Linked DNA regions of Oryctolagus cuniculus. The protein of the gene in region 1 interacts with the protein of each later gene in a pairwise test. Links are inferred from orthologs where the notes say so. Each region holds a gene or a part of one and is shown in the gene's direction. Other genes may lie near its edges.

The links.
Region 2: the proteins of DNAJB11 (region 1) and PTN interact in a two-hybrid assay, tested with the Homo sapiens proteins (2 studies listed by BioGRID and IntAct). The link is inferred for Oryctolagus cuniculus from reciprocal best matches to the Homo sapiens genes DNAJB11 and PTN.
Region 3: the proteins of DNAJB11 (region 1) and UBR1 interact in a two-hybrid assay, tested with the Homo sapiens proteins (2 studies listed by BioGRID and IntAct). The link is inferred for Oryctolagus cuniculus from reciprocal best matches to the Homo sapiens genes DNAJB11 and UBR1.
Region 4: the proteins of DNAJB11 (region 1) and BAG6 interact in a two-hybrid assay, tested with the Homo sapiens proteins (2 studies listed by BioGRID and IntAct). The link is inferred for Oryctolagus cuniculus from reciprocal best matches to the Homo sapiens genes DNAJB11 and BAG6.

The regions. Positions count from the first base shown.
Region 1 is NC_091435.1:96,299,007-96,306,291, forward strand, and holds part of DNAJB11 (dnaJ homolog subfamily B member 11), read left to right. Parts: intron 1-3,400; coding exon 3,401-3,543; intron 3,544-4,032; coding exon 4,033-4,115; intron 4,116-4,721; coding exon 4,722-4,779; intron 4,780-5,751; coding exon 5,752-5,863; intron 5,864-6,303; coding exon 6,304-6,463; intron 6,464-7,136; coding exon 7,137-7,201; 3' UTR 7,202-7,285. UniProt on the Homo sapiens protein: As a co-chaperone for HSPA5 it is required for proper folding, trafficking or degradation of proteins.
Region 2 is NC_091434.1:173,075,791-173,083,846, reverse strand, and holds the start of PTN (pleiotrophin), read left to right. Parts: upstream 1-3,726; 5' UTR 3,727-4,074; intron 4,075-8,056.
Region 3 is NC_091443.1:66,087,896-66,095,692, reverse strand, and holds the start of UBR1 (E3 ubiquitin-protein ligase UBR1), read left to right. Parts: upstream 1-3,621; 5' UTR 3,622-3,767; coding exon 3,768-3,848; intron 3,849-7,797. UniProt on the Homo sapiens protein: E3 ubiquitin-protein ligase which is a component of the N-end rule pathway. Recognizes and binds proteins bearing specific N-terminal residues that are destabilizing according to the N-end rule, leading to their ubiquitination and subsequent degradation.
Region 4 is NC_091436.1:138,959,994-138,967,917, forward strand, and holds the start of BAG6 (large proline-rich protein BAG6), read left to right. Parts: upstream 1-3,714; 5' UTR 3,715-3,854; exon of another isoform or gene 3,855-4,030; intron 4,031-4,504; exon of another isoform or gene 4,505-4,508; 5' UTR 4,509-4,517; coding exon 4,518-4,625; intron 4,626-6,019; coding exon 6,020-6,137; intron 6,138-6,253; coding exon 6,254-6,450; intron 6,451-6,697; coding exon 6,698-6,751; intron 6,752-6,912; coding exon 6,913-6,987; intron 6,988-7,537; coding exon 7,538-7,776; intron 7,777-7,924. Other genes in the region: APOM (apolipoprotein M), read right to left, coding at 56-154, 330-428, 520-593, 880-1,034, 1,401-1,511. UniProt on the Homo sapiens protein: ATP-independent molecular chaperone preventing the aggregation of misfolded and hydrophobic patches-containing proteins.

The DNA.
Region 1 (7,285 bases):
TAAGTTTCTATATACCTTCTCTGTCTTTTTTTAAACTTATTTTTAAAGATTTATTTATTTATTTGAAAAGCAGAAGCAGAGAGAGAGAAAGAGGTCTTCTGTCTGCTGATTCACTCCCCAAATAATCACAACAGCCAGAGCTGGGCCAATCCAAAGCCTGGAGCTTCATCCAGGTCTCCCACACGGGTGCAGGGGCCCAGGGGCTTTGGCCATCTTCCACTGCTTTCCCAGGCCATAGCAGAGAGCTGGATTGGAAGTAGAGCAGCTGGGACTCGAACTGTTGCCCATATGAAATGCCAGCACTGTAGGCAGCAGCTTTACCCACTACGCCACAGTGCTGGCCCCTATGTTCTCTGTCTTGTAAAAGGTGAAGAAGAGTGATCAGATGCCCAGAATTGAGTTAATCATAATCCTTGGATCATGATACACTGTTATCATTGTTTAACAACTCACAACCAAGACCAAAAACTAAACCGAGATCCATGACTTAATCGCCCTACATGCTGTTTTCTTATCCTGTTCCTTTTCCTCTCTTCTGACATAATTGCTATCCTGAATTTTGTCCTTATTCTTGTTTGTTCTATTATATATATATGTATTTTATATATGTATATATATACACACACACACATACATGCATGCTTGAGTAATACCATTTTGGTTTTTATTTTGTCGAAGAGGGATGCCATTCATTATCTTCTGGGCCTGGCTCTATTATTTCTTACTGTTTCATGTTGTTTTTGTCTTCCTTACCTCCTTATGCATTGTCATGCTTGTTTAGGTTCTTGATCTGTTTTCTCTAGTACATGTGCTTAAAATATATGTGTAACCCAGTTTATTGTCTTGGGGGACAGGGTTTAGTTATTCTGGCCTTTGAGCTCATTCCCATATGGACATCAACAGTATCTTTCCCTGTAGAGCATGTTGGGGTGAGTCTTTGCTCAGTGGTTTTGACTGTGTTGTGTCTGTCTGTCCTTGCAGTATTTTGTTTGGTGTCTAGGGTTTTCTGTGGAGTGGTGCAAATAGTACTTGTCCCAAAGCAGTTCGGAAGAGGCCAATGCAGAACTCCAACTGCTTTTTGCTAGTATCGTCTTGCTGCCCTGACTGGGGTGTAGGCACTACCCGACCCACATACTAACTCTGGGATGTTCTCGTGACATCTCTGTGACTGTTTCCTGGAACCTGTGTTTCCTTGTAGTTTTTCTAGGATTTTGGAAGAGCTGGCAGCCTAGTTTCTGTGCCATCTTGACAAGGAACATCTTCTTAGTTGTGACTGTTGCTCTGAACATTTGAAAGAGAGCTAGCTAGTCAAAGAAGATGTGACTGGCTCGTAATACTGTTGTTCAGACCGCAGGATAGAAGAAAGGGGCATTACAATTTCTTAGGTCTTCTCCACACATTGAAGAGGTTGTTTAGGTAGGAGAAACAGTGGAGCCTAATTAACTTCCACCTTCCTTTCCTAACCTGCTGTTCTTCAGTTTTTGTTAATACACAAAATACAAAAATAGTTCAGAAAGTTGTGGAGGGGTGGATGTTTGGCCTAGTGGTTAAGACACTCATGTCCCATAAAGCAGTACCTGAGTTGGAGCCCCAGCTCTTTGCCTAATTCCAGCTTCTTCCTGATGCAGACTCTGGGAGGCAGCAGTGATGGCTCAGGTAGTTCCTGCCACCCACATGAAAGGCCGCTCCTGTCTTCAGCTTGGCCCAGTTCTGGCCACTGTGGGGAGTGAACCAGTGGATGGGACCTCTCTCTTCTGTCTCTATCACCATCTTCCTCCCTTTCTCTAGCTCTTTGTCTCTCTGTCTGCTTCTCAAAGAAAAAAAATTAAAAGTTCCTGAAAAATTGTATGAAAAGATAAGTGTATTCTGGTATAAAATATTTTAAAGCCATCCATCCATACAAAAGGTCTTAAAAAGTTCATGGAGAATTTATATTATGAAAAAAGCTATGCTTGAATTTAAAAATTTTTTTTCAGCAAAAAACTTAACTTTTAGTTCCATTTTTCCCTGGACTTTTTAAAATACCCATGTATATTACTTTTTACAGTGAATGCCCCCCCCCCCTTTGTAATATAATCATGGGAAAAATGTGAATGCCCTTACTATTTAAAAATGTTTTAAGAAACGATTACCTTAAGAGATAGGGTATGATTAGAAGCATGGACTTTGCAAGTAGTCTGCTTTGTTTGGAACTGTGGTCCTGCCATGTATTAGTTATGTGACCTTGGACCTGCCACCTGGTCTGTAAAATGGAGATAACAGTACCTACCTCACAAGGTTGCCGTGAAGATTAGGTGAATATGTAAAAGTTTTTAGAGCATTGCTTGGTATGTAATAAGTGCTGTAAAGTATTTGCTCTAATTCCTATCATTGTTAGGCTTTATTCTGCTGACCCGGGCTTTCATACACTGGTAATCCTTAAGGGACTGCTCCAAGCATTGGTGTCATGCTGCTGCGTGAGTATGCGTGCACCTCGTGATTAGGTGTTTGACTAATTAAACAGGCAAAAACAGGGATGTACTTCTTCACATATATATCTTTTTTTAAAAAAATTATTATTTGAAAGGCAGAGTTATAGAGAGGCAGAGAGAGAGAAAGATGTCTTCCATCTGCTGGTTTACCCCCTAAATGGCTGCAATGGCTGGAGTTGGGCCCATCCGAGCCAGGAGCCAGGAGCTTCTGGGTCTCCCACGCAGGTGCAGGGGCCCAAGGGCTTGGGCCATCTTCTACTGCTTTCCCAGGCCATATCAGAGAGCTGGATGGGAAATGGAGCAGCCGGGACTCAAACTGGTGCCCATATGGGATTCCAACCCTGCAGGCGGCAGCTTTATCCACTATGCCACAGCATTAGCCCCTATATTAATTTCACACACCTCGAGAGATCAGAGTGTTTGATTGCAGTCAGCTACAAAGAGATGGCAGCTATGTGTTTGCTATGTGTTAAGGTATCTGAATGGAGATAGCACTGGAAAACAGGCCAGGGTCGGGTTACCTAGAACAAGGAGCTGTCTTCATTGGGATCAGACGGCAGCCGCACACCAGCCCTGAAGGCTGTGGTTGTTCTTCAGGGGTTGTGCTTTACAAGGCCTCGATTTCAGCAGATGTAATTCTGTAACTACCGCAGTCGGGCTCACAAGTGCTGACATTATAAACCTTACTCTGGGTCTCTTCTTCCCTACTCCGCTCTCTCTTTACCTCTCAAACTTCAGAATTTGAGTCATTTAAATATGTGTTTGCCTCATTCCTGTTTGTGCTCCCCAGGGAGTCCTGTGAGCTCTTGGTCTCTCTGAGGGATGGCTTGTCTGGGAAGGGGCAGCTCCAGGTCCAGCCAGTGGCCAGAGCCCTGGTTGGCTGAGGTCCCCAAAGACAGTGAAGCTGATGTTGTTTATGCACTTCTTAGGTAGTTAGAAACAAACCTGTGGCAAGGCAGGCTCCCGGCAAACGGAAGTGCAACTGTCGGCAAGAGATGCGGACCACCCAGCTGGGCCCAGGGCGCTTCCAGATGACCCAGGAGGTGGTCTGCGATGAGTGCCCTAACGTCAAGTAAGTGAAGCATCTTCTTGGTTCCGCCAAGAAACACTCGAGTAATCGCTTTTGTCTAATGAGGCGTCAGTGGTCCATCCCCAGCTCTTCCTCCCTCCCCTTACCATGTTCTACCGAAGGATAGAGCAGGAATGGACATTTTAACTTTTTCCAGAAGTGTTTCTTCAGAATATGCGTATCTTTAATGTTTCTGAAACAGTAAGCAGTGCTGTCTATGTCTGAGTAGACTTACCAAGTGCTGAGGTTTCATTTTCTTCCTGCTTGCATAGCAGAGCAGTCTTATGTGTTTGTGTACTATATAGTAGTTCTGCCCTAAGTTTGGACATTTAGAAGGTGTAAGTGGATTTCAGAGGTCTTTGCAGAGGAGAGGTACACTGTAGTCTTCCAAGAAAAAGTCCTGATAACATAGATAACACTTTAATTATCTGTATCTTGGGTTTTCATTTGTATCTTCATTTTGTTTTTCTTCTTAAATTCTCTTTGTCTTAGACTAGTGAATGAAGAACGAACTCTGGAAGTAGAAATAGAACCTGGAGTGAGAGATGGCATGGAGTACCCCTTTATTGGAGAAGGTGGGATATTGATACTGATGTTTTATGATCATAACTTTCTGCTCTCCACTTACGAATATTTGTCTCACCCCATATCCTAATGGCCTCGTAGTGAATGCATATAAAATTCACCACACATGGAGAATCTTTTCTGACCATCACGGTTAGTCACCTGAGGCGGTGTCATTACTATTTGTCCTTCAAATATCATGCCCAAAAGTTACTATCAGGTGGCCTCAATTTCACCAGAATTTAAAGTGTCCAGACCTTTATGGATTAATTTTAACTTGACAGTGAAAGAAGATTCGCTGCCAGACTGTACCTTTGGGCTCAAATTTAAAACTCTAAAAGGATAAAAGCTTTCAGACTTCAGGTTCAGGGCATCAATGAATCATTCTTTGTTTGAGAAATAGGTCAAGTTATTTATTACCATGCCTGAGGCACAAAGTGATCTTATCTTCACTAGTAATCTGAAACGCTGTAACCAGGCAGAGACACTTCCTTCACAGATAAACTTGACAGAATCAATGCCAAGGTGGTGGCTTAAAAGAATTCTCTCAGCTGCCAAATAGATTTGTGGTATTCGACTTGTGTGACTTACGGTATGCTGTCATCTGTTCTGACTAGGCGAGCCTCATGTGGACGGGGAGCCTGGAGACTTACGGTTCCGAATCAAGGTTGTCAAGTAAGTGACCTAGTTCCAGAGGCTTCTCTAGCCCCTGCTTTCCGCAGGCATCAGAGCATCCAGTGTTCTTCTCTGTTCCGTGCCCTGAACTAGTCTTTGTAACTCTTGAACAGTACTGAAAATGTGGGGTTGGACCCCAGGATTGAGCCCCCTTTATTATTTACTTAGGACTTACAAGTCCAAAAGATGTCTTAAGGAAAAAAATTGATAGAACAAGTAAGGACTTGTAAAAGAGAAGCAAACAAGAATAAAAGTCAAGGAGAACTGAAATTTTAGCTGAGGATCTCTGGCACCGTGAAAGAATGGGGGACTTTTCCCTAAGCACAAAGTACTGCTTCCTGGGCCTCGGGCTTTCTTGTTTATCCTCTCTTGTTACCACCTTGGAAATCAGTGAAGCCTCTGATCTAAAGATCTGCTGGAACAGGGTTCCCGCTGGCATCTGGAGGAACGGCCTTCCACTGCCTGAGACCTGTCCCTCACCACTGTCCTTAGTCCCTGTGATCTCCCCCAGCCTTCCTTCCCGACCTTGTCTTTCTCATCACTTCCCAGAGACACTGGCCCATGCGCTGCTCCTGGAATAAGCCTGGTAACTTCTCAAGTCCTTGGCTCTGCAGAATTTCCCTCACCTTGCACACACCTCATCTGCCTCTCGAGGCAGCTCAGAAACCACCACAGCCACCATTCCTGTTGCCCATCCCCCAGCCGCCACTGCCAGGAGTTGTCACTCTCTCTTTTCCATTTTCTAATGACAGTCCTTCCAGTTGTACGCTTTGGCTTCTGATTGAGAGCACCTAACTGTAGCGTCTGATATGTGACTTCATTGTCTTGCTTAATACTACACAAAGGCATCTCCAATAAATGCTTATTGTTTGAGAGAGCAATGTTTATCTTTCTCTAAGACGTTTCTAACAACTTGTTCAGTGTTCCTGGAGAAAAAAATGGAAGTTAATCATTTTTACCTTGTGTTTTTAGGCACCCGATATTTGAAAGGAGAGGAGACGATTTGTACACAAATGTGACAGTCTCACTGGTCGAGTCTCTGGTCGGCTTTGAGATGGATATCACTCACTTGGATGGTCACAAGGTAAATGGACCAACCTTCCCGTTTTCTATTCTTGCAAAGCCTCCCCTGGGTGGCTCTTGAGATGCTTTTGGCCATTTCAGTTATTTAGAACCACAGGGAACCCTTTGATGCTTTTGCTCTGCCTTCCTGCCTTAGGTCACTGCTGCCCGCCAAGCAGCGACAGCCACAGGCCTTCAGCTGTTCTGCGTTGGTGGCACAGCCTTTGGTAGTCTTGTCCTTACGGTTTCCATTGGCGAAAGTGTGACTTCTTGTTCATGTGTTGATTTTTTCTTTGTCTTTTTTAAAACCTTCTTTCTTTGACTCTCATGTCCTGTTTCACTTGTCCCTTCATTCTGTCTTTGCTGAGCTGTGACACTAGTCTGTGCACAAGCGCCCGCTAGAAGCTGTGTGATATATCCCAAGTGGACCCGTCCTCCTCAAGTCTCCCTTTTGCTTTCCAGGTGCATATTTCCCGGGATAAGGTCACCAGGCCAGGAGCCAAACTGTGGAAGAAAGGGGAAGGCCTTCCCAACTTCGACAACAACAACATCAAGGGCTCTTTGATAATCACTTTTGATGTAGATTTTCCAAAAGAACAGTTAACACAGGAAACCAGAGAAGGTACGGGGTGTAATGAGTGCGCGTGTGTGTATGAGAATAAGGTGGCCATAAACCCTGCAGGGACGTGAGACATCAACCATTAGCACTAACGGAACACAAGAATAGGAATGGACTTGACCGTCTTTGTAAAGGCAGTGTTTAAAATCTCCTGTTGCTGTGTTACAAAGGCCGTGTAAACTAGACTTGGAAACCTAGGAAGTGGTATGGTGCATGGGGGGAGACAGAATCACTTGTAACAAACGAGGTGGACCCAACTTAAAGCGAAGATGAGCTACAGAGCAGCTGCGTGAGAGCCATGGGGGAGATGCCTGTGAGGACTGGTTGAAAAGAGGGCCCAACTGGGGAACTTAAATAGTGAAAGAAAGGAGTGTGGTAAACGCTGAAAAGAGAACAAGGAAGAAGCAGTGGAAGACTTAGCTGAAGAGTTTTCTCTCTTTGATCCCACAGGCTTTGTGGCTTTGTGGGCCAGAGACACAGAAAGCCACAGGGACCTGTGGGTCACACGGGAATGTGTGGGATAGCCCATGAAGTTGGAGACTGGTAGTTTTTGTTTGTTTAATTCAGATCCATGGTTGTCAGAAGGTCCTTTGTGAGTCTCTTCATAAACATGTTCTCCAAATGCCACAGAAGGCACATGTTTTCTAATGTGGTCATTTGTCCATTCTTTCTTCAGGTATCAAACAGCTACTGAAACAAGCATCGGTGCAGAAGGTATATAACGGACTCCAAGGATATTAAGAGTGAATAAAATTGGACTTTGTTAAAAATAAGTGAATCAGCGATATTTATTATCAGCGGGGTTTTTTTGTGTGTGTTTATTTG
Region 2 (8,056 bases), on another chromosome or scaffold:
AGAAACACAAAGTGTAAAATAATATTTGAGTACTAGTTATAGCATTAATTAAACACCTAAGAGTAATTGTGTATTTTTTTTATTTTCCCTCCCACTCACACCCCTCCCATCTCCTGCTCCCTTTCCCATTCCATTCACATCAAGATTCATTTTCAATTATCTTTATATACAGAAGATCGATTTAGTATATATTAAGTAAAGATTTCATCAGTTTGCACTCACACAGAAACACTAAGTGTAAAATACTGTTTCAATACTAGTTATAGCATTACTTCACTTTGGACAACACAGTAAGGACAAAGATCCTACATGAGAAGTAAGTACACAGTGACTCCTGTTGTTGACTTAACAATTTGACACTCTTGTTTATGGCATCAGTAATCTCCCTAGGCTCTAGTCATGAGTTGCTAAGGCTATGGAAGCCTTTTGAGTTTGCTGACCTTGATCTTATTCCGTCAGGGTCATAGTCAAAGTGGAAGTTCTTTCCTCCCTTCAGAGAAAGGTACCTCCTTCTTTGATGACCCGTTCTTTCCACTGGGATCTCACTCGCAGAGATCTTCCATTTAGGTCTTTTGTTTTTTTTCCAGGGTGTCTTGGCTTTCCAGGCCTAAAATACTTTCATGGGCTCTTCAGCCATATCCGAATGCCTTAAGGGCTGATTATGAGGCCAGAGTGCTATTTGGGACATCTGCCATTCTATGAGTCTGCTGTGTATCCCGCTTCCCATGTTGGATTGTTCTCTCCCTTTTTGATTCTATCAGCTAGTATTAGCAGACACTAGTCTTGTTTGTGTGATCCCTTTGACTCTTAGACCTATCAATGTGATCAATTGTGAACTGAAATTGATCACTTGGACTAGTGAGATGGCATTGGTACATGCCACCTTTGATGGGATTGTATTGGGATCCCCTGGCATGATTCTAACTCCACCTTTTGGGGCAAGTCCTATTGAGCATTTCCCAAATTGTACATCTCCTTCATTATACTTAAGCTATGTTGTGAATGCTAGGTTGAATTAAATTATGACTAATCTCAATATCATTGGTTCTGATTTATTGAAAAAACAAAACCTATAGATAATCTATAGAAGTGACATTGACACATTGAGATGCAATGGCTTTGAACAACCCTTGTCTCTACTGTTAGGAACAGATTTTTTTTAAAGATTTTATTTATTTATTTGAAAGTCAGAGTTACACAGAGAGAGGAGAGGCAGAGAGAGGTCTTCCATCCACTGGTTCACTCCCCAGATGGCCACAACGGCCGGAGCTGTGCCTATCCGAAGCCAAGAGCCAGGAGCTTCCTCCAGTTCTCCCACATGCATGCAGGGACCCAAGGACTTGGGCCATTTTCTACTGCTTTCCCAGGCCATAGCAGAGAGCTGGATCAGAAGTGGGGCAGCGGGGTCTTGAACTGGTGCTCATATGGGATGCTGGCGCTCCAGGCCAGGGTGTTAACCCACTGTGCCACTGTGCTGGCTGCAAGGAACAGTTTTTTTTTTTTTTTCTCATACTATTTGTTTAACTGTTTACCTAATAGTAGAGTTAATCTTATGTGTATAAATTTAATTGAAAATAGATCTGAATAAAAATAAGAATGGGAATAGGAGAGGGAGGAGGGAGAAGGGTGGGAGTGTGGGTGGGATGGCGAGTAGGGTGGGAAGAATCACTATGTTCCTAAAGCTGTATTTATGAAATGCATGAAGTTTACCTTAAATAAAATATTTCTGGGGAAGAAAAGAGAAAAAGAACTCCATTTAATCTTCTATTGTATTTTCAAAATATTAATATTTTGGGTAAAATAATGCTTTATTGTCTAGCTGTTAGGGTCATCTGGGGAGTGAACCAGTGGATGAAATACTTTTCTCCCTCTCTTTATCTGTAACTCTGCCTTTCAAACAAACAAATAAATTTTAAAAAATAATAATGCTTTATTGTAAAGGGGCTATCCTGTAACTTGGCCAGCATCCTTGGCCTCCAGCTACTAGGTGTCAGGGTTACCCCTTTTCTCAGACTGTGATAAGAAAAGATGTTGTCAGGTAACGTCTTGGAGGGCACCTACTCCTGTCTGACAACCATTGATGTAAGTCATTTTCACACATACCTACTTTAATAAAATCCTATTTTGATATAATGCATATAATTGAGTGAAATAATGAGAATCTCATGCTTCCTTTATGACCTTTAGCAATGGGCACCACGATCAGCCCTGCGTTGTCCACCTGACTGGTGGCAACATGTTCACCTGTAGATGTGAAGATACAGGTTAGGAAGGAAACTCGGCCCTTGCAGAGTGGTGGGAAACCCTGAGACATCACTTTCAGTAACGGGTCTGGGAAAAATAACCCTAGTCAAGGTCATGCGCATCCCTCCAGTCGGTAGTTACCAGCAGATGCTTCACGGGGAGAATGGGCTCCTGTGAGAACAGGGAAGCTGCAATCTGTGTTTCATTGGAGGTTGGTGTACGCCCTGTGTCTGGAGAGTTTCCTTAAGGGGATAGATAGAAAGTGCCTAATGGAATTTCTGATGCACCTCCTTGTGGAAAAAAAAATAAAAAAAAAATGATTGATTGATTAAAAGCTCTACTTGCCGAGCTGCTTCTTGGCCCCCAGTTGACTCCTTCCTCCGTGGGACACTTCTGCTTGTTGCAATCGATGGAAGAGCCTCAGATCCCTGAAAAGCTACCTGCCACAAAACAGTGCTTCTACTTTGGGATGTCAGGGGTGGTTTTAAGTGAATGGAAAAGAGTTAAATAAGGTACTTAACAAATATTTGTCAAATTGAATAGAAGGACGTGAGCTCAGAACCACAGAAATGGACAAACAAACCACAACCAAATGGGGGGGTGCAGCCGGCATGTGGGCTGTGGCCAAATGGTGATAGCAAGGACATAAAAGGAGCATTGGAAGGAGCTGGAAAGAAGTGACAAGAGACAGAACACTTCACAATTCACTTCTGTAAATGTTAGTGGAAATCTGCTTTGTAAGTCTGAATCATTTCATACAACACTTTTAATCTCATCTATGCCATAAATATTCATCTACATATGACTTCAGCAGTCCCAATTCTACTATCTCAGCATCTTTCTTCCATTGAATGAGATGGAATTCCTGAAAGTCAAGGAGCCCAGCCTCTGAGTTCTATAAAACCTAGCATTTGAGCTCCATTGATCAATCCCCTAAATTCTTTGTCGATGTCAAAGGCTTATCATTACAAAGGCTCATAAAAGCACCACAGAAGCAAAAAAAAAAAAAAAAAAAAAAAAAACCTAAAGGAAAGCAGCACTTAATTAGGAACCTGAAGACATCTGTCACTCTGTGACAATGGAGAAAAGTACTCTGCACACTTTGGGAGGCTCAGGTGGGCTGGGACTGACAGCTGAATTTGGCTGGGGTTCTTCTGTGTAGGGAGGGCGTTTGGGGGTGGGGAAGAACAAGAAGCTGTTTTTTTCATCCTGAATATTATTTTTAAAAAATGACAGGGGCCAAAACTGCAACCTAAAATGTCACTGTGTGTGATAGGTTAACTTGGTAAACTGGGGAATGCGCCCCCGGAAAGCACCGAGCATGCATGGGGTTTGCAAAAGCTAGACTGTGTTCCGTCTCTCTGCTAAAAACAATACAGTCTTACATCTCCTGGCTTCTTGGTTCAAATCCGTTTTCTTGCTCCACGGGGAGAGACTGCCCCTGGAGTAGCCTGCTTTTAATAAGCTTCCCAATCAGCTCTCGGGTGAAAAGCACTCTCCCTCCCTCGCCCAGCCTGCATCCTCTCCCATCCCTCCCATTCTCCATTTCCCTTCCGTTCCCTCCCTGTCAGGGCGTAATTGAGTCAAAAGCAGATCAGGTTCCCCGCCTTCCAGTCCAAAAATCCCGCCAAGGGAGCCCCAGAGCACAGGAAAATCCAAAGTGGAGAGAGAGGAAGAAAGAGACCAGTGAGTCGTCTGTACAGAAGAGCAGAGCAGCGGCCGCCCAGGCAGGAGCAGCAGCGCGCAGGGTACCTGGACTCCAGCAGCGGCAAACCTCGCCCCTTCCAACAAAGGCAGCCTGAGCGCCAGGGAGGACATTTGCAGCTCAAAGTAAGCGGAGGGAATGTGTGATTTCCCCCAGGGGGCTTAAGTGTGCTTGCACCCTGTGCCACTTTTCTGGTTGCCAGCGGATGAAGGTGCTGGGAGTGGGAGAGGGGCTGCCTGGTGTGGTTGCTGATAGGACTGCTCTCAAAACTGACTTACTGCAGACTGAGGCATGTTTTTGGGAGGGCTGTCAGGTCAGGTTTAAGGAGAGTGTGCTTTTCTGAGCAGAAGGAGGGAAGCCTTTGTCGTGGGAAGCCTGCGTTTGGAGGCTGCTCCAGCTGACTGCTACAGAGCTTGCCAGGGTGGGCTGCAGGGTGCATGGTTGCTCTTTGTCAAACCTGAGGCTTTGGGAGGTGTGTGTGTGTGTGTGACTCAGTAGAGAGGAGGCAGGAAGGCAGCCCTTGTGAGCAGGTCTCATTTTCCCATTCTTTTTCTGCTTCTCGGAGTACCCCGGGGGCTTGCCAGCGGATGACCCTTAGCTGGCATTTCTGGGTGACGTGTGGGGGCTTGTTTGTCCCCCTGCCTGGTGACACTGAGCAGCTGGCACTGTCAATCCTGCCTGACAGCCAGGAACACTTCGAGAAATGGTCAAGTCCAAACTTTCCAAGATGCACCATGGTTCCCCATTGCTCATTTGGTTGCCGACTTTGATCCCTGTCCTGCACTGTCCTGCTTGCCCTTTTCCCTTTACCCACAGAAAGCTAGGGTATGTTTGTTACCCCAGGTATACTTTGTTAGACCATCAATTTCTGAATTGACTGTTCTAATAACTTAACAAAATATTTTTTGAGAGGAATGTACCAAATTCTTTCCTTACTTAATGTACAGAACATAAAACTCCCTCTCCTCTTAACACACACGCACACACACACCCTTGTACCTAACAACACAACACCTACATCCACTCAAGAATACACACAGAGTTTATATACACTCTGTTGTTACCTTAGCCCTGTCTAATAGCTGCTTTGTGAAATTGGGGGATACACTGAGACAATAGGTGTGGAGTTGGGGGCGCACGAGAGGAGGAAATGAGCAATGTGAGGGAAGTGCCAAATTCTAGTAGTTTTGCTCTTTTAGTAGTTGAGCTGTCATGGCATGTGTTAGCAGTAGCTTGAGAAAGAGGTTCTGTGTGTGTGTGTGTGTGTGTGTGTTGGAGGGAAGGGCCTGGGAGGAGAGTCAGGAACCACCCAGAAGAGCTTTGTAACTAATAACATAATGGAGCCACTTCATGATCTCATTCAAATGTGGAATTGATGAAACAGCAGAGTGCATGTTAGCCCCTTAATCATCTGGGGATGAATTGATTTGCAGGACTATTAAGAGGTAGTGGGAGTGAAACAAAAGGGAAGGTGATCCACACTGAAAACCAAGCTTGTGTCTCCCATCTTTGGTCTGTTCCTTTCTAAGTTGATTATGCACTTTAAAGACTAAGTCATAAAAAGCGGTTAAAGACCAGCTGAATTCAAAGGAAAAGAGAGTGGATATTACCTTTCTCTCCCTTTGGGACATGCGTTATTTTAGAGTGGCAATATTTGTACTTTATTACTTAAATTAAAAGTTTTTTTAGGTATTATATTTGCTTTGAAAAACATCCAACACCATTTTCTGTGCTTTAAGAAACTTCCATGCTTTATGGTCTCTGGCTGTATACTTTGAATTTGGACAGGCGATCATTCCCCTCCCACTACTTGAAGCCCAGGACACTTTTCCTCTCAGTTTCGTGAAAAACCTCTCTGGGATGAAGTTGTACAGCTGCTTGCAGAGCTGTGCCCCAGTGGTTTGCTTGTGGACACAAATGCATCGCCTTCTCAAAGCCAGAGCTGCGACAGAGAGCAAGCTGCAGCTAACACGGGGCTTTTTAACTGTTGACTTTGTATTACAGGGAATGAACATAATAAACCATATTTAACTATATGCAGTATAGCATATCATATACTATTTTTCTTTTACCCTAGATTTCTTTCCATGGAGTTTGGTACAAGGAACATTAATTTACCGCAAGTTTCCATGTGCCTTATGTGGTCTTTACAAAAAGCAAACTGTAGCAAGACCTGCATTTTTTAAATGGGGATTTTTATTACCATTGTTCCAGTAAAGCCAATGACCTGAATTTTCACAAAAAGTCATCGTTTAAGATAATATAAGAGAAATAGATTCTTAAAGTTTCACAATCACTTGTATTAGCAAAATCAATTTTAGGAATAAAATAAGTGTGAATGTTTTATTTCTCTTTGAACATATTCTTTTTCCATTTAAATGACAATCTCACTTGAATTCCGATTATTTTCCTAGTTGCAGTGTGGTGGTTTTATGGCTACTCAAAAACTTCCCAGGCAACGGGCTTCTTCAGAATCATGTAATAAGTTAATAATCATGTAATAAGTTAATAACCATGTAATACATTAATAATCCTCTAATACGTTAATAATCAAGTGATAAGTAGACTGAGGACCAGAAGTCAGAATCCAGAATCTAATTTGCAGGTCTCAAGCTTGTTAATATGGCAGAATAATAAGGGACATGGTCCTTAACCTCTTTGCTGAAGGTAATGTCAAAATTCAGAGAACTCACAGTGATCTCTTGATCCCAGGGGTCAAAGATGTCCAACACTGGGTGCACACAGTCCAGGTTCAGGTCTGATGTGCCCTGGAGCTTCAGGCCAAGGGAGAGTCCGCCAGATGCCTCCCTATGGCTTTGCTGGTGATGCTGGGTTGATCTTCCCTGTAACCATGAGGCAGGAAGAGCTTTTGTCTCCTGGCACAGGGCTGCGCCCTTGCAGCAGGAGGGGAGTGAGATAATGTTCGAAGATAGACTTATATGAGCTGGGTGGGTCTGCTTTTGGTCCACCCAGAGTCAGTTAGCTTGAGTAGAATTTGAGCCTTGGCCTTACTTTGGAAAGCTGTTCTCCATTCTTGATATTTATGGCTAATTCAAGTTTCCACTGCTAGGCAGTTTTTCCATCTGCCCCAAGCCAGCCTTGTATGTGGCACATGGTGTCATTACAATCTTTCCAGATTGTAAACATGTAACAGGCCTTTTTTTTTCTCCCTTCTCTCTTCTAGCATTTATTAAATAAGAAGTTAAGGGTTTTGCAGCTTGAAAGTGTGGCTGTGATGAGATATTATCAGAGGCTATTAGAATGATGGCAGTACTACAGTTTAACCTACAAGGGTCACATTCATCTAAACCCCAGTTGCCTCAGGGCAGGCCAGGAACACAGTGACAAGTCCATCCTTGAGATATTTTGAAAAATAAAATCTCATTTCTTCTACTGGGTTTTATTTTCTGAGTCATTTCTTCATAGTGACATTTCAAATGGACCAAATATATACACACACACACACACACACACACACACACACACACACACACACATATATAGTCATAGTATTTCCTAAAAGCAGAATTCTTAGATTTCATGTAAAAACACAAACAGCTTGCTGTATTCCTAGCCTTTGGTTCCTACTTTTACACTTACCTGCTTCTCCCACCTGGCCTTCATTTCTCCCTTTTGTTAACCTAGTTGCCGTTAATTCCCGTCTTACAGATCCATGATGTCTTGCCCAATTCTGTCCTCGTATTTGTGATGGCATATAACCCTTACTGTATGTGTGGGACAGGAGTGTCTGCCCACGTCTTGGAATTCATGGAAGGTTGGATCTAGCTAGCCCACGTTTTGATATTGCTCTGGTCTGGTGCACTCAAATCTTTTCAGCACTAAAGCACCCTCTACTGACTCCACTGGATTTTTCCTTTTTGATTCAGACTCTGGCAAAGGTCAGCTTGCACTTTCCTCACTGCAATAAGTAATGACTTACTGTGCTCAGCTTCCCGACTTCAACAGAGAGCCATAGCTGTGATCACTCCTCTCTGTCACATTGTCTCCAGTCCTAGGCCCCAAACAATTTTTCTTGCTGCTGTGGCCAATCAATGTAATACTATTTATTAGAGCATGTCCAGTGCCTATAACTATGCTACACAGTAT
Region 3 (7,797 bases), on another chromosome or scaffold:
AATGACAGCCTAGTAAATTGCTTTTTAAATTGTGATAAAATAGGTATGAAATTTACCTTGTTAGCCATTTTAAAGTGTGCAGTTAGGTGGTATTAACTAGTCATACTGTTTTGCAACTGCCACCACTCTTTCCAGACCTCTTCATCATCTGAAACGGAAACTCTATACCCATTAAACATTAATTCTGCATCCTTCTCCCACCCCTGCCAGGCCCTGACAACCGCCACTCTGCTTTCTTGTCTCTGTGACTTTGACTACATAGTCAGATTTGACTCATGGAATCATACGGCATGTATCCTTTAAATCTGGCTTATTTCACTGAACCTAATGTCCTCAAGGTTCATCCACATTGTAGCATGTGTATGAATCTTCCTTTTTAAGGCTGCATCATTTCACTGAATATATGAGGCACGTTGTTTATCCACTCAGCTGTTGATGGACACCTGAGTTGTTTCCACCTTGTGACTCTTGTGAGTGTTGCTGCTATGGACATTGGCACATACCAGACGTCTTTTATAAGCTTCTGAAGTAGCATCTCTTCCTTAGTACAACAAAAGATTGAGGAGAATTTAATGTAGGTAATTAATGCTGTGCACAGGAAACCCAAAATAACTGCAAAAGAAATCACAGAGCCTTGAGACATTATGCTAAGTGAAATAATTCAGAGAGAAGGAAAATACTGTATGATTCCACTTATATGGAATACCCAGAATAGTCAAATTCAAACAGAAAGTTGAATGATGGTTGCAGAGGCTGGGTGGAGTGAGAGGAAGGGGGTTTGTGTTTAATGGCTACAGAGTTTCAGTTTTGTAAAAGGAAAAATTGTTCTGAAAGTGGATGGTAATGATGGTTGTACAATGTGAATGTACTTAATGCTATACTTAAAAATACACTTAAAATGGTTAAAGTGGGGGCCAGCGCTGTGGCACAGCGGGTTAAAGCCCTGGCCTGAAGCGCTGGCATCCCATATGGGTGCTGGTTCGAGTCCTAGCTGCTCCACTTCCGATCCAGCTCTCTGCTATGGCCTGGGAAAGCAGTGGAAGATGGCCCATGTCCTTGGGCCCTTGCACCTGCATGGGAGACCCGGAAGAAGCTCCTGGTTCTTGGCTTTGGATCGGTGCAGGTCCATCCATTGCAGCCTACTGGGGAGTGAACCAGCAGACAGAAGACTTCTCTCTCTGTCTTGACCTCTCTCTCTGTAACTCTTTCAAATGGAGGATGGCCCTGCACCACATGGGAGACCAGGAGAACTACCTGGCTCCTGCCAATGGATCAGCGCGGTGTGCCGGCCGCAGCGCGCCAGCTGCGGCAGCCATTGGAGGGTGAACCAATGGCAAAAGGAAGACCTTTCTATCTGTCTCTCTCTCTCACTGTCCACTCTGCCTGTCAAAAAAAAAAAAAAAAAAAAAAGAAATAAAGAAAGAAAGAAAGAAAGAAAGAAAGAAAGAAAGAAAGAAAGAAAATGCTGTGATATAAACTCAGAGTGTGAAAGAGACAGGAGAGAAACAGAGAGAGCACTTCCATCTGCTGGTTCACTCCCCAAATGCCTATTACACCCAGGGCTGAAGCCAGGAGCCCACAACTTAATCCGGGTTTCCTATGTGGGTAGCAGGGATCCAAGTACTTGATCCATCTTCTGGCACCTCCCAGGCAAATTCTCAGAAAGATGGATTGAACATGAGGCAGAGGGAGGACTTGATGCCAAGCACTCCACTAAGGATATGGTATATCCCAGGCGGCAGCTAAACCCACTCTACCACAACAGCTGGCCTGTGTGCTGTACTTTTGTAAGAGTGGCAGTGCACTAGGTTTGTTTCTACGGCCATCACCACAAATGGATATTGTGTTGCACTACAACATTATGACAGATACAATGTTACTAGAAGATAACAATTTTTTGCCTCCATTGTAATCTTATGTAATATTATTGGACCACGATCGTATATTTGGTCCATCATTGGTTGAAATGTCATCATGAAGTGTGTGGAAATCTTTATAAAATATTTAGGAGAAACATTTAATAAAATATCAATATGTACTTTATAGTCTCCAATAAAATACAAAAATATTAGAGTACACATTCTCTTCTACCTGTTATTTTTCTTATAAAAGCTTATCTCAGGGGCATGTGTTGTGGCACAGATTTATATATCTACACAAGGAATAATAAGGCAAATACAGGTGGGCCCTAATCCCACACAAAATATCCCAGAGAATATGGGCCTTTGAAATGGAATTACCCAGGGGTTCTCACTTCTCATTGAGATCACTTGGAATAGGTTTGTGTGTGTGTGTGTGTGTGTGTGTGTTTAAAAAAAAAAAAAAAAAAAAACTAATGCTCAGGCCCCAATCCTTTCAAATGAAATCAGAATCACTACAGTGATGCCAGGCGATCCTAATGAGCTGAAACCTGCAGCACAATCCCTAAGTGAGAACCCGGGAAAAACAGTTCTGAGGATGGCTGCCCCAAATGAGTTTTATTTGGGGGCCACAAGAAAGAGAACTCGTGTACTTAAGTTGTTAACAATGCTTCAGACAGAAAAATGGCACCTGCAAAACGAGTCGTTTGTTTACTCACAAAAGCTGCTTGGACTAAAGGTAATTTTATTAAAAATGTATCTCTTTGCATAAGAATCAAATTCATAATCCTACTCTAAATTAGGTCAAGCTGTCACTCACCCAAAATTGTGGGCCTGCTTCCCAGAGTTCAATCAAGAAACACACCAGAAGGAGTCGTCACACCAAACAATTTAGTGCAGCAAATTAGGAAACCATAGGGAATTATTCCTAAAGCTGTGTCTCCACAACCCGGGGAAAACAGGTTATCTTTTGTCTTAGGGGAAAATGAATACCTCTTACGTAGTATTCTTGTTTGCACATGCAGGATGGAGACAAGTCCACACAAGAACAGTTCGGAAATATGCTTCAACATAGGTTGCATGAGATGGTAACGAGGCTTAAGCACCTCCTGCGGTGGAGAGCTTAGTGTTAAAATGAAGCAAAGTGGTGTCCTATGGATACTTTTTGACCCACTTGCCCAGGCGTCATCGCTTTTGCAGTAGGGTCTGGACAATCTAGGGTGACAGGTGATTGCACCCCTCCCTGGAATGTGAGTGAAAACCTGAAAGACAACTCAGAATAGCACCAGGTGTTTAAAGGGTCTGGAACTAGGAATCACAGTAAACACTCTCCGACACGTCTTCCATCTACCGAAGGGAATGATTTTAAATTCTTCGTTATTCCCTGCCCCCAAAACAAAACTGGGGCGTCAGCTTTCTTCATACGTGCGCAAGTGCCCATGGGCTCGACTCCTAAAGATGGAAACGCCGCGAGTACTTTTGTTTTTCATTCTGTGGGTGCCGGAGATTGACAGCAGCTGCGTCGGGAGACCAACCAGCCCCCCGCCCGCGACCGGCCAGACAGGACAGGCTCTCCCTTAGTTCTTGACAGTTGCCTTCCTCTTATAGCGGACGCTGAATTTGTCTTTCACCTCGCAGATGCAACAGATTCTAGTACCGAAGCCAGGTGTACAACCACTCAGCATTAATAGCCACTGCGACCAATAAATTTCCAAGCGAAAATCTCCGGCCCCTTCGGGTCGTGACGCCCGCTTCCGGGAAGCAGACCGGAAGCCGCTCTCGAGTCTGCGTCAAACGCGACTTCAGGGGCCGTCGCAAAAGTGTCGCCCTCCGCCTCTCGGACGGGCCACAGGTTTCCACTCGCCTCCGGCCGGGGGTCGAGCACTGCGGGAGTCAGTTTCCCTCAAGATGGCGGACGAAGAGGCTGGGGGTGCGGAGAGGATGGAAGTCAGCCCCGAGTTGCCCCAGACCCCTCAGCGACTGGCATGTGTAAGTGCCTGTAGACAAGTTCCTTTTGTCCTCCCCCCAGTCCCTCCCTACCGCGCTCAGGAGGATGTGGGGCTTCACCTCTTATGGCGGCTCTGGGGAGGGGGAGTCCTATGGATTGATCTGGAAGGAAGCTGCCGAATAAAAAGTTAGTCGTCACCCACATTTCCTGCCAGTCAAGCCTCCGGCATATAATGACTTTGCCGTTTATTAGTCTCGACGGGCTCAAGCATGCATGTCTGTATCCTGAAGTAGAAAGAACTGGTGATGTTCTTCTATGGTTTCATGTAGGGGGCTAAGGAGGGATTGGAGAGAGCCATTTTCCGGTAGACGCCGCGCTAGCCCCTCTTGATGCTAGGAATCCAGGACGCAGACCCCGCTGCAGAGTGGTATGTTGCCCAGCCGGCCGGAACCTGATAGTGCAAGGGAAGGCGGCCACTGTCAAGTCATAGTCAGGTGTGGGGTGTAGGAATTGTTGTGCCTCATTGTAGCCTCTTGAGAACCCCAGGCTTATTCCTCTGTGGAGAAACCTGCCGTATGTTGCTGCTTTTTACAGCTGTGGAAGGGACTCGTAGCTATTTCAAGTCAGAGTAATACGGTTTGCTCCTGCATTTTGAAAGACTCGGAAGGCAGAGATAGTGAGCAAATGTGAGGCAATAGTCTGACTCCAAGAGAAAGCGGACTATGGAGGGTAAGAAGTAGGGTACTGTGTTAAGGGAGTGTTCTAAGTGCCTCTGGGCATCTGGTGGAGAGCTGTGTAGGAAATATGCAAATGTATGTCACAGCTGCATATAGAAAAGTGTGAGGTGCACCCCTCTTTCAGAAGTTCCTTTGGTTTATAGTGTTCATAAAAGCATTCTTGAAGTACTTTAACCCTGTGAACACTTCAGCATTGTTTATGAGCTACAGAAATGAGTCAACCCCAGGGACTGGAGAGACTGGCTGGGAGATAGAAACCAGGTAGGGAGGGAGTTGGACTAAGGGTTTGACCACCGACTAGGCCATCGTTTGGCAATCTTTCTCCATCCCAAATAGTAATTCAAACTCACTTCATTGTTGGAATTGAAGGAAGATACTTGTATGACTATCTGACATGACAAGGCATAATGGAAAGATAGAACAAATTTAGAGCTGGTTTTAGTTTATAGCAAGTTTAGAACCAGCTCATTTTAATGGTAGCTTGTGCTTTTTTCATGTTAAAAGGAATGGAACAGGGCTGGCATTGTGGTGAGGTGCATGAGGCCCCTGCTTGTGGTGCTGGCATCCCAAATGAGTGCTGGGTCATGCCCTGGCTGCTCCACTTCTGATCCAGGCTAATGGCCTGGGAAAGCAGCAGAAGATGGCCCAAGTACCTGGGCCCCTGACACCCACATGGGAGACCTTGATGAAGTTTCCAGAGCTCCTGGCCATTGCAGCCATTTAGGGAGTGAACCAGCAGATGGGAGATTAATCTCTCTATCTCTGTAACTTGGACTTTCAGATAAATAAATCTTTAGAAGGAAATTGTGTATGATAGTCAGAAAAGTTGTTTTAGTTTTGTGTTGCCAAAGATGACTGATATTTATTTAAAGCTTCAGTGTGTTCTTTCCAGATGGTGTAGTAAAACTTCTTTATTCTGGACTCTACTAATTGGGAATTGGGAATTGGAAATAATGGTATAGGAATTTCAGGAGATATTTCAATTTGAATATCTCTGATCTGAAAACTAAAATCTTAAATGCTTTACAATCTAATTCTTTTGAGCACTGACATGATAACATAGGTGGAAAATTTCACACCTGACCTCATGTGTTGGGGCACAGTCCAATACAAGTATACTAAACATATTGTATAAAATTACTTTTCAGGCTATGTGTGTCATATATATATGGAACATAAATGAATTTCATGTTTTGGCTTGGGTCCTGTCCCCAAGATATATCTTGATATATATGCAAATGTTCCAGAATCCAAAAGTCTGAAATTTGAAAAACTTCTTGTTCTGTGCATTTTGAATAAGGGATACATGACCTGTATTAGATTTCTTCGGGCAAAGTTTTTGGATTTTGCAAAGTAGTAGGCTGATGGTGTAATACAGCCTCAGGGAAACCACATTCTAATGACACAGGTAATAGTAGGGCTCAAAGAATTTTTTTTAAAGAATTTATGTATTTGAAAGACAGAGTGACAGAGGGAGAGACTAAGAGATCTCCTAAGGGTTGATTCATTCCCTAAATGATCACAACAGGCAGTGCAGGGCCAGGCTGAAGCCAGGAGCCAGGAACTCCCATCTAGGTTTCTGGCATGGGCGACAGGGGCCCAAATACTTGGACCATCTTCCGTTTCTTTGCTAAGAGCATTAGCAGGGAGCTGGATTGGAAGTGGAGCAGCCCTGGCTCAAACTGGCAGTTTATATGCGATACCCATACCCCAAGCAGCCATGTAACCACTGTGCAGAGCACTGACCTCTAGTGCCCTAAGAAGTTTAACTCAAGATAGGGTCATGTAAGTGTGTAACTGTTAAACCTCATGACCACTCTTGATTTGAATCTATCTATTGGAGGGCCCCAGAGATCATCCTACCTTCTTTTTCTTTTTAAAGCTACCGTCTTCAATTTTATTCTGGCAGTGGAGTAAATTACTAGTTTCCCAGTTTGCTACTTCTTTGCTATTAAACAAAAAGTTCAGGTTTTTTCTTCCATTTGAATGATTCTTATATTTTAAAAAAGGTTTATTTTATTTATTTGAAAGGCAGAGTTACACAGAGAGAGGTCTTCCATATGCTGATTCACTCACCAAATGGCCACAATGGTCCAGACTGAAGCCAGGACCCAGGAGCTTCTTCTAGGTCTCCCACATGAATGCAGGGGCCCAAGCACATTTGACATCTTCCTCTGCTCTCCTAGGTACATTAACTGGGAGTTGGATTGGAAGTGGAGTAGCCAAGGCCCAAACTGGTGTTTATATGGGATGCCAGTGCTGCAAGCAGTGGCTTAATGCACTACACCACAGTGCCAACCCTGAATGATGCACATTTTAAATCAGTATTGGAGGCAGAGGAAACAAAAATAATAAATAAGGAATAGTTATGGAGGTTTGAGGGGTCTTACCAGTCCCATTAGAGTTCTTGATTATAGTTTTTTATTTCCTTAGATCAGATTTGCTTCTTGGATCTAAGATATTTTTCAGTCATACTGCTGTCAGTAACTTTGAAGACTGTCATATCCCTAATACCACTAACATGCAACAAGGTATAATAATAATAATGGGTATAAATAATTGGATATTTATAAAAGCTGTTGCTTAAGAATAATCAAGGGAAATCTGTAGCTTTGGAATGAAGTCCACAGATCTGTGTCTTTGCATCATGCCCTGCTGATTCTGAAATTCTGATCCATAGGACACACTTTGAATAAAATTTAGGTAGATATTTGGAAGTTATCAGTATAGAATTGACGGTTGAGTTTGTGGGAATGGATAAGATCTTTGAGGAAGAAAATGTATGTATCACACACACAAACACACAGAATGAGGAAGTGGACTGAAATGATTGAATTTCAAGGTTAGAAAATAGAGGAAGACTAGTTAAGAACCTTTGGAAATGGAACAACCAAGCAGGTGGGAGGTGAGAGTAGTGCAATATCATGGCGAGTAGTTTTGAAGAGAGGGTATTTTATTGGGTCCGTGGGGATGAGGGTGGGACAGTCTGCAAATCTAAGGATATGTGGGGGTGATCTGCCAGATCTGCATTCTTTGACTGTATTTTCTTCCTTAAGTCTGTCTTAGAGGTTGTCCCTTAGCATGGTGCTAAGCTTTTCTCTTTTGCTTGACTATACCTTCTCTCTAGGTGATTTCATCCAGCAGCTTTAAATACCAGCTGGATGTCTTAACTTCTAAAATTTGTATCTTGGGCCGGCTGCATGGCTCACTTGGTTAATCCTCCACCTGCAGTGCCGGCATCCCATATGGACCC
Region 4 (7,924 bases), on another chromosome or scaffold:
GCACCCCCAGCAGCCTTGGTGAGTCCCAGTCCTCTGTGTGTCTTTAACCCCTCACCTTGATTCCTGGGAGTCAGTAAGAAGGCTTTGGAGTCCAGGCAGGAGGTCAGGGACTGGAATTCCTCCACGCACTTCTCGGGAGGGTGTGGCGAACGATCTGCAAGGGCGGGGTGGGGCCAGACCAGTCAAAGCCCCCGCCTTTCAGCACCGCCCCTGGCAAGGACCTCATGGCAGCACCCAGCCCTTCCTGGGAGGATGTCACAGGGCCCCGGGTGAGATGTTCTGCAAGTCCTCATTGCCCTCTGGCCCTTCCTGCCTTGCACCCCACTCACTGTAGAACAGAAAGCGCTGGTAGCCCTGGCCCGTCTCTTTGAGCATGATTCCCCCTGGGCACGAGCTGGAGAAGAGCTCCGTCTTCATGTCGGGGCGGCCTGTCAAGAGTGGGTGGAGGCAAGTGTGAGGAGGGAGACTTGAAACTGAGTCTAGGGGGCTGGGGGAGGGGGAGGACTGGAGAGAACCAACCTTCAGTCCTGAGGTTTGTGCTCCCTTCAGTCAAATGGTAGATCCACTTCCGGGGCACACAGAGTCCATTTTTTCTGCAGAAGTGGGCAGTGGCAGACAGGACCTTAGACCGAGTGTCACCTCAGCCATACGGTACCAGCCTCTACTTGTTCCATCTTATTCCTCCTGGAAATCTAGCTCCCTTTGGGTTTCATGCTAACAAGGCGTGGTTAGACCCATCTCTCTCCAGAAGGCACTGCCAGAACTAGAGGATTCAGTGGCCAAGAATACTGGCTACACTAGCCCCAAAGCCCAGGCCTTGCTGGGCGCTCGCGTTTCAGGCAGAGTGCACTCAGTGGTGCCTCTGTCTGCACCACTCACGTGCGGATGGTAGCACGAAGCTGGAGCTGCATAGGCGCAGAGCCTGCAGCCATGTTGAAGACAATGTTGTCCACAAGGTCAAAAGTTGCCAACTCCTCCTTGGTGGGAGCTGCCCCTGCAATAAAGTACCACTGGCCCAGGTGCGGCTCTGGAAACTGGAGAGACAATGAGGGAAGCAAAAGTTAATGAGTCCAGCGCTGGAGCCAGCGGTTAGCAGAGCAAGACTTCAGGTGGAGGGACTGGCTGCCTCCCTCTGCGCAACTGGGGGTTGAATTCCTGACAAAAAAAAAAAAAACCACTAAATGACTTCCTCCTCGCCCCCACCCCCCAAGTCAACCTGGTTCGCCACCCCTAACTCGGCCGAGTCTCCACGCTGATGGCCACTGGACTGGTACTTTTCTCCTTGCTTTCATCATTCCAACCCTCGTCCCTTTCCCAATCTGGCTTCTGGTGACTCTAGGTCACCCACTGAAGCCCCTCTAAACCACCACCAGAAGGTATCCCCCATCCTCAGTCCATACCTCCTTCCCATCCACTCCCAGAGTTGTCAGCTGACTGTGCTCCGGGCACTGATAGAGGGAGTTCAGAATGCCATAGAGGTAGAGCACGGCTGCCCAAATCCATTGGAACATCTTGAGGCAGGAGGGAGCTGCGGCTTTGCGACCAGTGCCTTAACTGCTCTCTCCACTGCTGGTGGCTCAGGCCACTCTGCTTTCAGCCCCCTTGCCTCGACCCTTGACCCCTTCACCTGCTAATGAGTAACTTCAACCTTGTTTTCCAGCCCAAGCCTGGATTACCTAGTGTTTGGGCCTTCCTCCCCCTCTTCTTCATACAACCAGTCCACGATACAACCTGGTATGTCCAGGGTGTCTCACGAGTTATGGGAAGAGCCCAGTCCCACACATAGAAGCCCACAGTTTTTTAACCCATGCCTGAGCTGGATATTGGCTGTGTTGTGCAGCATGGAAAAGAGGCTTGACTGGGATTTTCATTCATTCACTTAGCTGTTTTCTGAGCCCCAGCTGTTTGCCAGGAACTAGCTAATCTGTGGGGATACAAAAATGAGACACAGTCCCTGGCCTTGAAGTCAGTATAGGAAGAACTAGCTGTGTAAACAGATCACTGCAGTGCAACCTGATAAGTGCCAACAGGTATGGACCAGTTCCGCGGGCATGGTGGATTTCTCCCTAAAGTTTTAACTGTGGACACAGGATGTATACACCTTGGAAGGAAAAGTTTCAGGACACACAAGTTCATTCACTCAATGTTTATTACAAGGGGGCTACACAATTTAGTGATTAAAGAGGATAGACCTTTTGTGGCTGGCAGAGTGAATTCTAAACCCAATTCTTAGACCTCTCTTCTATTTGGGATAATTTTATTTAATCATCAATCTCACAGGATTGAAATAATGCATATGAAGTCTTTAGCAAAGACCAGAAAATGGTTAAGTCCCAAGTTAAATATTCAGTATAACAGTAGTATCTGCAGACTACTTACTAGTTTCTGGTGGGTAATCTCTGAAACCATAGGCACTAAGGGAAGAATGGTGACGCTGTGGTCACTGGGTTGTGCTGAGGGAGGAACTGCTGCTGAATGACCAGGGCTCCATTGCCAAATTACTTACTACCCGCGGACTACGACAAAGATTTACTCTGGGACTTGAGGCTTGCTATGGACTTGTGATTTACTGTGTAAACAGATCACGGTTTAAAAAAAATCAAAGCTAAATCCGAGCGAAGGGTATATGAAAGTTCATTTTACTAGTCTATTTTGGGGGTAATGCTTTGAGATTTCTCAAGAAAAAGCTAAGATGTAACAATTTATTGGAGCAGTAACGTCGAACTGGGCCCGTGTTTGTCACTTCCACCACCTAGGTTTGTCTAGGCGTACTCACCTATAAAACAGATGTTAGTACCCATTTCCAAGGTCAAAACTTTAAAATATGTAAAACGCTTATTATACTGGCTGGCACACTGAGCAGGTGCTTATTTAAACTGAACCAGTCCTGGGATCTGGGTATAAACTACAAATCGCAGAAAGACGTGGGGGAAAGGGGGCGCAGAGAAGCGGTAGTCCCCCCACCGCACCCCTGCGGAAGCCCCTCGGTGGCCTTTCAATTCTCCAAGGTCAAGGTCTCCTCTTTCGGTCCAGTCGGGTTCCATCGCGACAATTCTCAAACTCGGAAAACACTTCTCTTGACAAAAGTCCTGAAAGACAGCGGCAGGCTTAGCCTTCCTACAACATGGCGTGACTCCCTGGCCGCTCACTGCCCATGACGAACAAACACTACGTTCAGTCCGCAAAACGCCCCAACCGGCACAAGCGAGCTCCGGCCCAACGACGCAACCGCACGGAGAAACATCTCGCGAGCCGCCCCCAACAGCCTACGGCAAAGGTGACTTCCGGAGGCGCCGGAGCAAAGGTGCCGTGAGGACGACCGCGAGACGCTAGGAGGCTTAGGTGCCTAGGACAATGCCGCCTAAAATTCTCCGCTTACCAGGATTTTAACATAGGTTAACGGGGCAAAATCTCCAGGCTCCAAACTCTAAGGTCTACACGAATAGTTCGTAGTCTCTCTTGAGGCAGTGGCAGTCTCATCGGGCAATTTTTTTCTTCAGGCATTTATAGTGGCCACCTCAACCCCCAATCGCTGAAGCGCGCGCACAGGGGAAGTAACCACCGCCAGAGGGGGTGGGTGGGCGGAGTTTAAATGTGCACGCATGCGTAATGAGACTTAACGCAGGCGCAGTACGGTCCCCGGGCGACGACGGCGGCGGCTCCTCGGGGTGCTCGGCTCCCTCCCATCTAGGCCGGCCCCTGCCCGTCTCGCCCCCAGCAACTCACTGTTTGGGGCTACGGACTTTCTAATCGTGCCCCACAAAAGTAACGCTTGGGGACCTGGGGGAGCCGGAAGTACCGCCTCGTGATTCCCCAGATACTATCGGGGAAACGGAAGTGACCGTCGGAGGCAGGTTGGGGGAGACCGGAAGTGACGGTACCGTGGGGAAGTCGGGGGCGGAGCCGAAGGGTGGTGGGGAGTGTATGTGTATGGTGTTTGGCTGTGGCTGTGTGTTGGTTGTGCTGCTCTCTTGGAACACCGAGGGAAGGCGGAAGTGGGGGGGCAGTCAGCTAGCCGGTCCAGCCCCCCGTGAGTGTCCGCCGTCCGGGTCTGTAGTGATTTAGGCGGGTTCGATGGGCGTGGCGCGCGTGCGCGAAACCACTTTCTCCGCGGAGTCTGGCGCGACTCCCACTCTCGGGTTGTCCCAGGGTTTGTCGACTTCTGGGACCCTTGTAGTGCCGTGACTGGTGATGACACGGGTCTCTGGTCCCATGCTTGCTTCTTTTCCCGTATCTTAAGCCGACTGACCCGCCCTCATTGTGATTGGCATTGTGGAGCTCCTCCTACCTCCTGTCCTTCGGTTCCCTGTGCCGTCGATCTGCCCTTTGTGTTTCTCTCTCGTTGCCCCGGAATCGGAAGGGGAATGGGGGCGGGTGTGAGTGTGTGTGCTTGTGCGGGAGAAACTTTTTAGGTATTGGGGCGGGGATTCAGCCCGGGGAGGCTTCCTGGATCTAAAATCGGCTCCGGGCGACAGTGGACCTTCCTCTCCCCCTTCTTTCTTAGAGAGGTGTCGGCCATGGAGCCCAGTGATAGTACCAGCACCACTATGGAGGAGCCTGACAGCCTGGAGGTGCTGGTGAAGACCTTGGACTCTCAGACTCGGACCTTTATTGTGGGGGCCCAGGTGAGACCCCGATACTTCTGGAAGACATCTGTGGGCCCTTTGTCCCGGGGGCCCATTAGACGGAGAAGAGCCTGATGTTCTAGTCCTTGAGTTTTCATTGATTTCTTTGTTCACTTTTTTAACTGTTGAGTGAGGCAGATTTTTGTTCTGCCTTCTTTCAACTTGGTGGAAGTCAGTGCAGAGAATAGGAAGGAGGAATCTGTACGCTGTCATCTTATGTGGCCTCCAGCCCAAGGGGACAGCCTTTGGGAATGGACGTGATACAGTGACCCCCAAACAAGTGTGTCTTCTATAAACAGAAATTGGTCACATGGGTGTATACTCTTTTTTTTCCTGTCTCCTCTTTCCCCTTCTCTTTCTTTCTAAAAAGAGACAGAGCTTCCATCTGTTGGTTTGCTTCCCAAATGCCTGCAGTGGCTGAGACTGGGCAGGAGCTGGAAGCCAGGAACACTATCTAGTTGGTTGATCCATCGATTTTGCCTCCCAGGGTCTGTGTTAGCAGGAAGCCGGAGCCAGGAGCCAGAGCTGGGTATTGACCAGCCACTCTGATATGGGATGTGAGCATCTTAATTGCTAGGCTGGGTGCTCACTGCCTATACTGTTTTTTAAGTATGCGCATAAGAATTCGTAATGAATAGAGCTTTTGTAGACAAGCGAGTGGAATTACTGTATTTGCAGCATACTTTGAAACTCTGTTTAATGCTGTGGACACAGCTGTCTGTGCCTTTACTCCTGAAATAGCTAGAGACAGAATTGTGAGCAGACTGATCTATAGTTTCATAAAATATCACATGTTATTAAGAAAATAATATGGGCCTTTGTGGTTAGATGTATGTAAACATTCTAGCATTTCATAAGAGTGAGTTTTCTAGGTAGGAAAAATGACTTTCTTTTTTTCTCTCCTTCCTTCCTTCTTTCCTTCCTTCATTCTTTTCTCTCTTTCTCTTTTTTTTTCTCTCTTTCTTCCCTTTCTTTTTGCTACCTTTTCTTCTTGGCTAGTCTTCCCTCACCTGATTCCCTAACCCATTCTCCTTGCCATTGTTTCTGTCTTTGAGATTACAGGGTTGTCCTGGTATCATTTTGTGTTTGGGAAGGGGTCACTGGTAGCACTGAGCGCACCTTCCCTTGGGAACCAGGCAAAGAAGGAGAGAGGGGGCTGGCAGTCGGCTTTCTTGTTTCTTATCCACATCTTCTCCTGGTCTGTGCCATGAGTGTCCTTGAGTTTACTGCTTCTGTTTTGAGTCAAGCTTTGCACGATAGTTACCTCACATAGGAGACAATTGGCTAGTGATTCTATATGAGTTCTACCTCTCACCTTCCCTAATGCATGGTCCCTCTTCTGTACCTCCTCTGTCCTTTATCTGACTCCTGTGTGTGTCCTTTCTTCCTTGCAGATGAGTGTGAAGGAGTTTAAAGAGCATATTGCTGCCTCTGTCAGCATCCCCTCTGAGAAACAGCGGCTCATCTATCAGGGGCGAGTTCTGCAAGATGACAAGAAGCTCCAGGAATACAGTAAGGGGGTGGGGAGGCACTGCAGAGGTAGAGGATAGTGTTCAGAGGGATGAGCTGAGGCCATGGGTTTACCTGATCATACAACTATTTTGATGTATGTCTTTTTCTTTCTGCAGATGTTGGGGGAAAGGTTATCCATTTGGTGGAACGGGCTCCTCCTCAGACTCAGCTCCCTTCTGGGGCATCTTCTGGGACAGGGTCTGCCTCAGCCACCCATGGTGGGGGACCCCTGCCTGGTACTCGGGGGCCTGGGGCCACAGTTCATGACCGGAATGCCAACAGCTATGTCATGGTTGGAACCTTCAATCTTCCTGTAAGCTTGTGTTTTGCATGGCAGAGTTTTTGTGGGGAAGGGTAGTTTGGTTGGTTGTGGTATCAACAGGAGGCCCATCAGATGCATGTGTCAGTCTTCAGCTTGGAGGGCTCTGTGGTTTAGTGTTGGATTTGGACTCAGTCTTTGAGGAAAAGGGCTGGGGGAGGGGGGCTAGGCAATACATTGAAAGTGTGGAGGCTTTAGTGTTTGGCTTCTCCCAGAGCAACTTCCCTTACCCTTTCCCCAGAGTGACGGCTCTGCTGTGGATGTTCACATCAACATGGAACAGGCCCCAATTCAGGTATTGAGGGGCCTGGGAGGGTCAGAGAAGGGGATCTGGGAGAAGGAGGCCATGAAGTGGGGGAGGACCTGGCTGAGGAGATGACTGGGACCTGGTGTAGTAGGCAGTGGAGCTCATGGCTTCACCTCGGACCTGTCCTGATGATTCCTCTTTTATCGTAGAGTGAGCCCCGGGTACGGCTGGTGATGGCCCAGCACATGATCCGGGATATACAGACCTTACTGTCCCGGATGGAGGTAAGTGGGCAAGTCTGGCTAGAGTCTCTTCAGGGGCATAACTGGCCACAACCACAGGACTCTGCCTTCCTAATCTGGTCGCCTCTCTCTGCAATCTTTGTTCTTTGGGGTAGAAAAAGTATCTTTTTGAGACCGCTTTGACCCTGCCAGATCATTTGGTGGCTGGTATTGGGGACTTTGTTTCAGTCTTGTCAGGTAACTCTCACAGCATATCTTTTGAATTGAAGAAGGATCCCACACTTCTTAATTTTTTCCTTGATGTTCTAAGTTTGTCAGTTTGTGTTACGGTTGCAGCCTGTGGCCTTTCTCTCTCTCGTTGCAGAGATTAGGAAACTGCAGCCTCTGCTCTCTGTGATTCACTCACCAAGCCTACAGATGCTTGTGTGCAGCCTGATTGTCCCAGTGCTGCCCTGGCTGTTAGAGGCAGACCAGAGCCCTGCCTTCAGGGCGCCTCGTCAGGGTATTCTCCCCATTCAGACTCCTTTGGCCTGAGTGGTTGTCTACAGTAGTCTCATCCTGCTTTTGGTATTCTGACTCGCCCCACCTTCAGTGTCGAGGAGGGCCCCAAGCACAGCACAGTCAGCCGCCCCCACAAACGCCGCCTGTGGCCCAGGAGCCGGGAACCTTGAGCTCTCAGACAGCAGAAGCGGTTGAAAATGACTCGCCAGCTCGGGAGCCCATGGAGGCAGAAGAAGTGGAGGAGCGCACCCCAGTCCAGAACCCAGAACTCACCCCGCCTGGCCCAGCCCCAACGGGCCCAGCACCTGCCACGGAGACAAACACACCCAAGTGAGAGGAGGAGGGAACTCTAGGGGTTTGGGAGATCCCGAATGAAGTGTGAGGACCAGGAAAGGTACAGTGGCAAGGGAAGCATTGCTTGGGCCTTACCTGTAGGGTTAGCATTGAGTGTAGGTAAGTGAAGTTAGGATTGATAGCT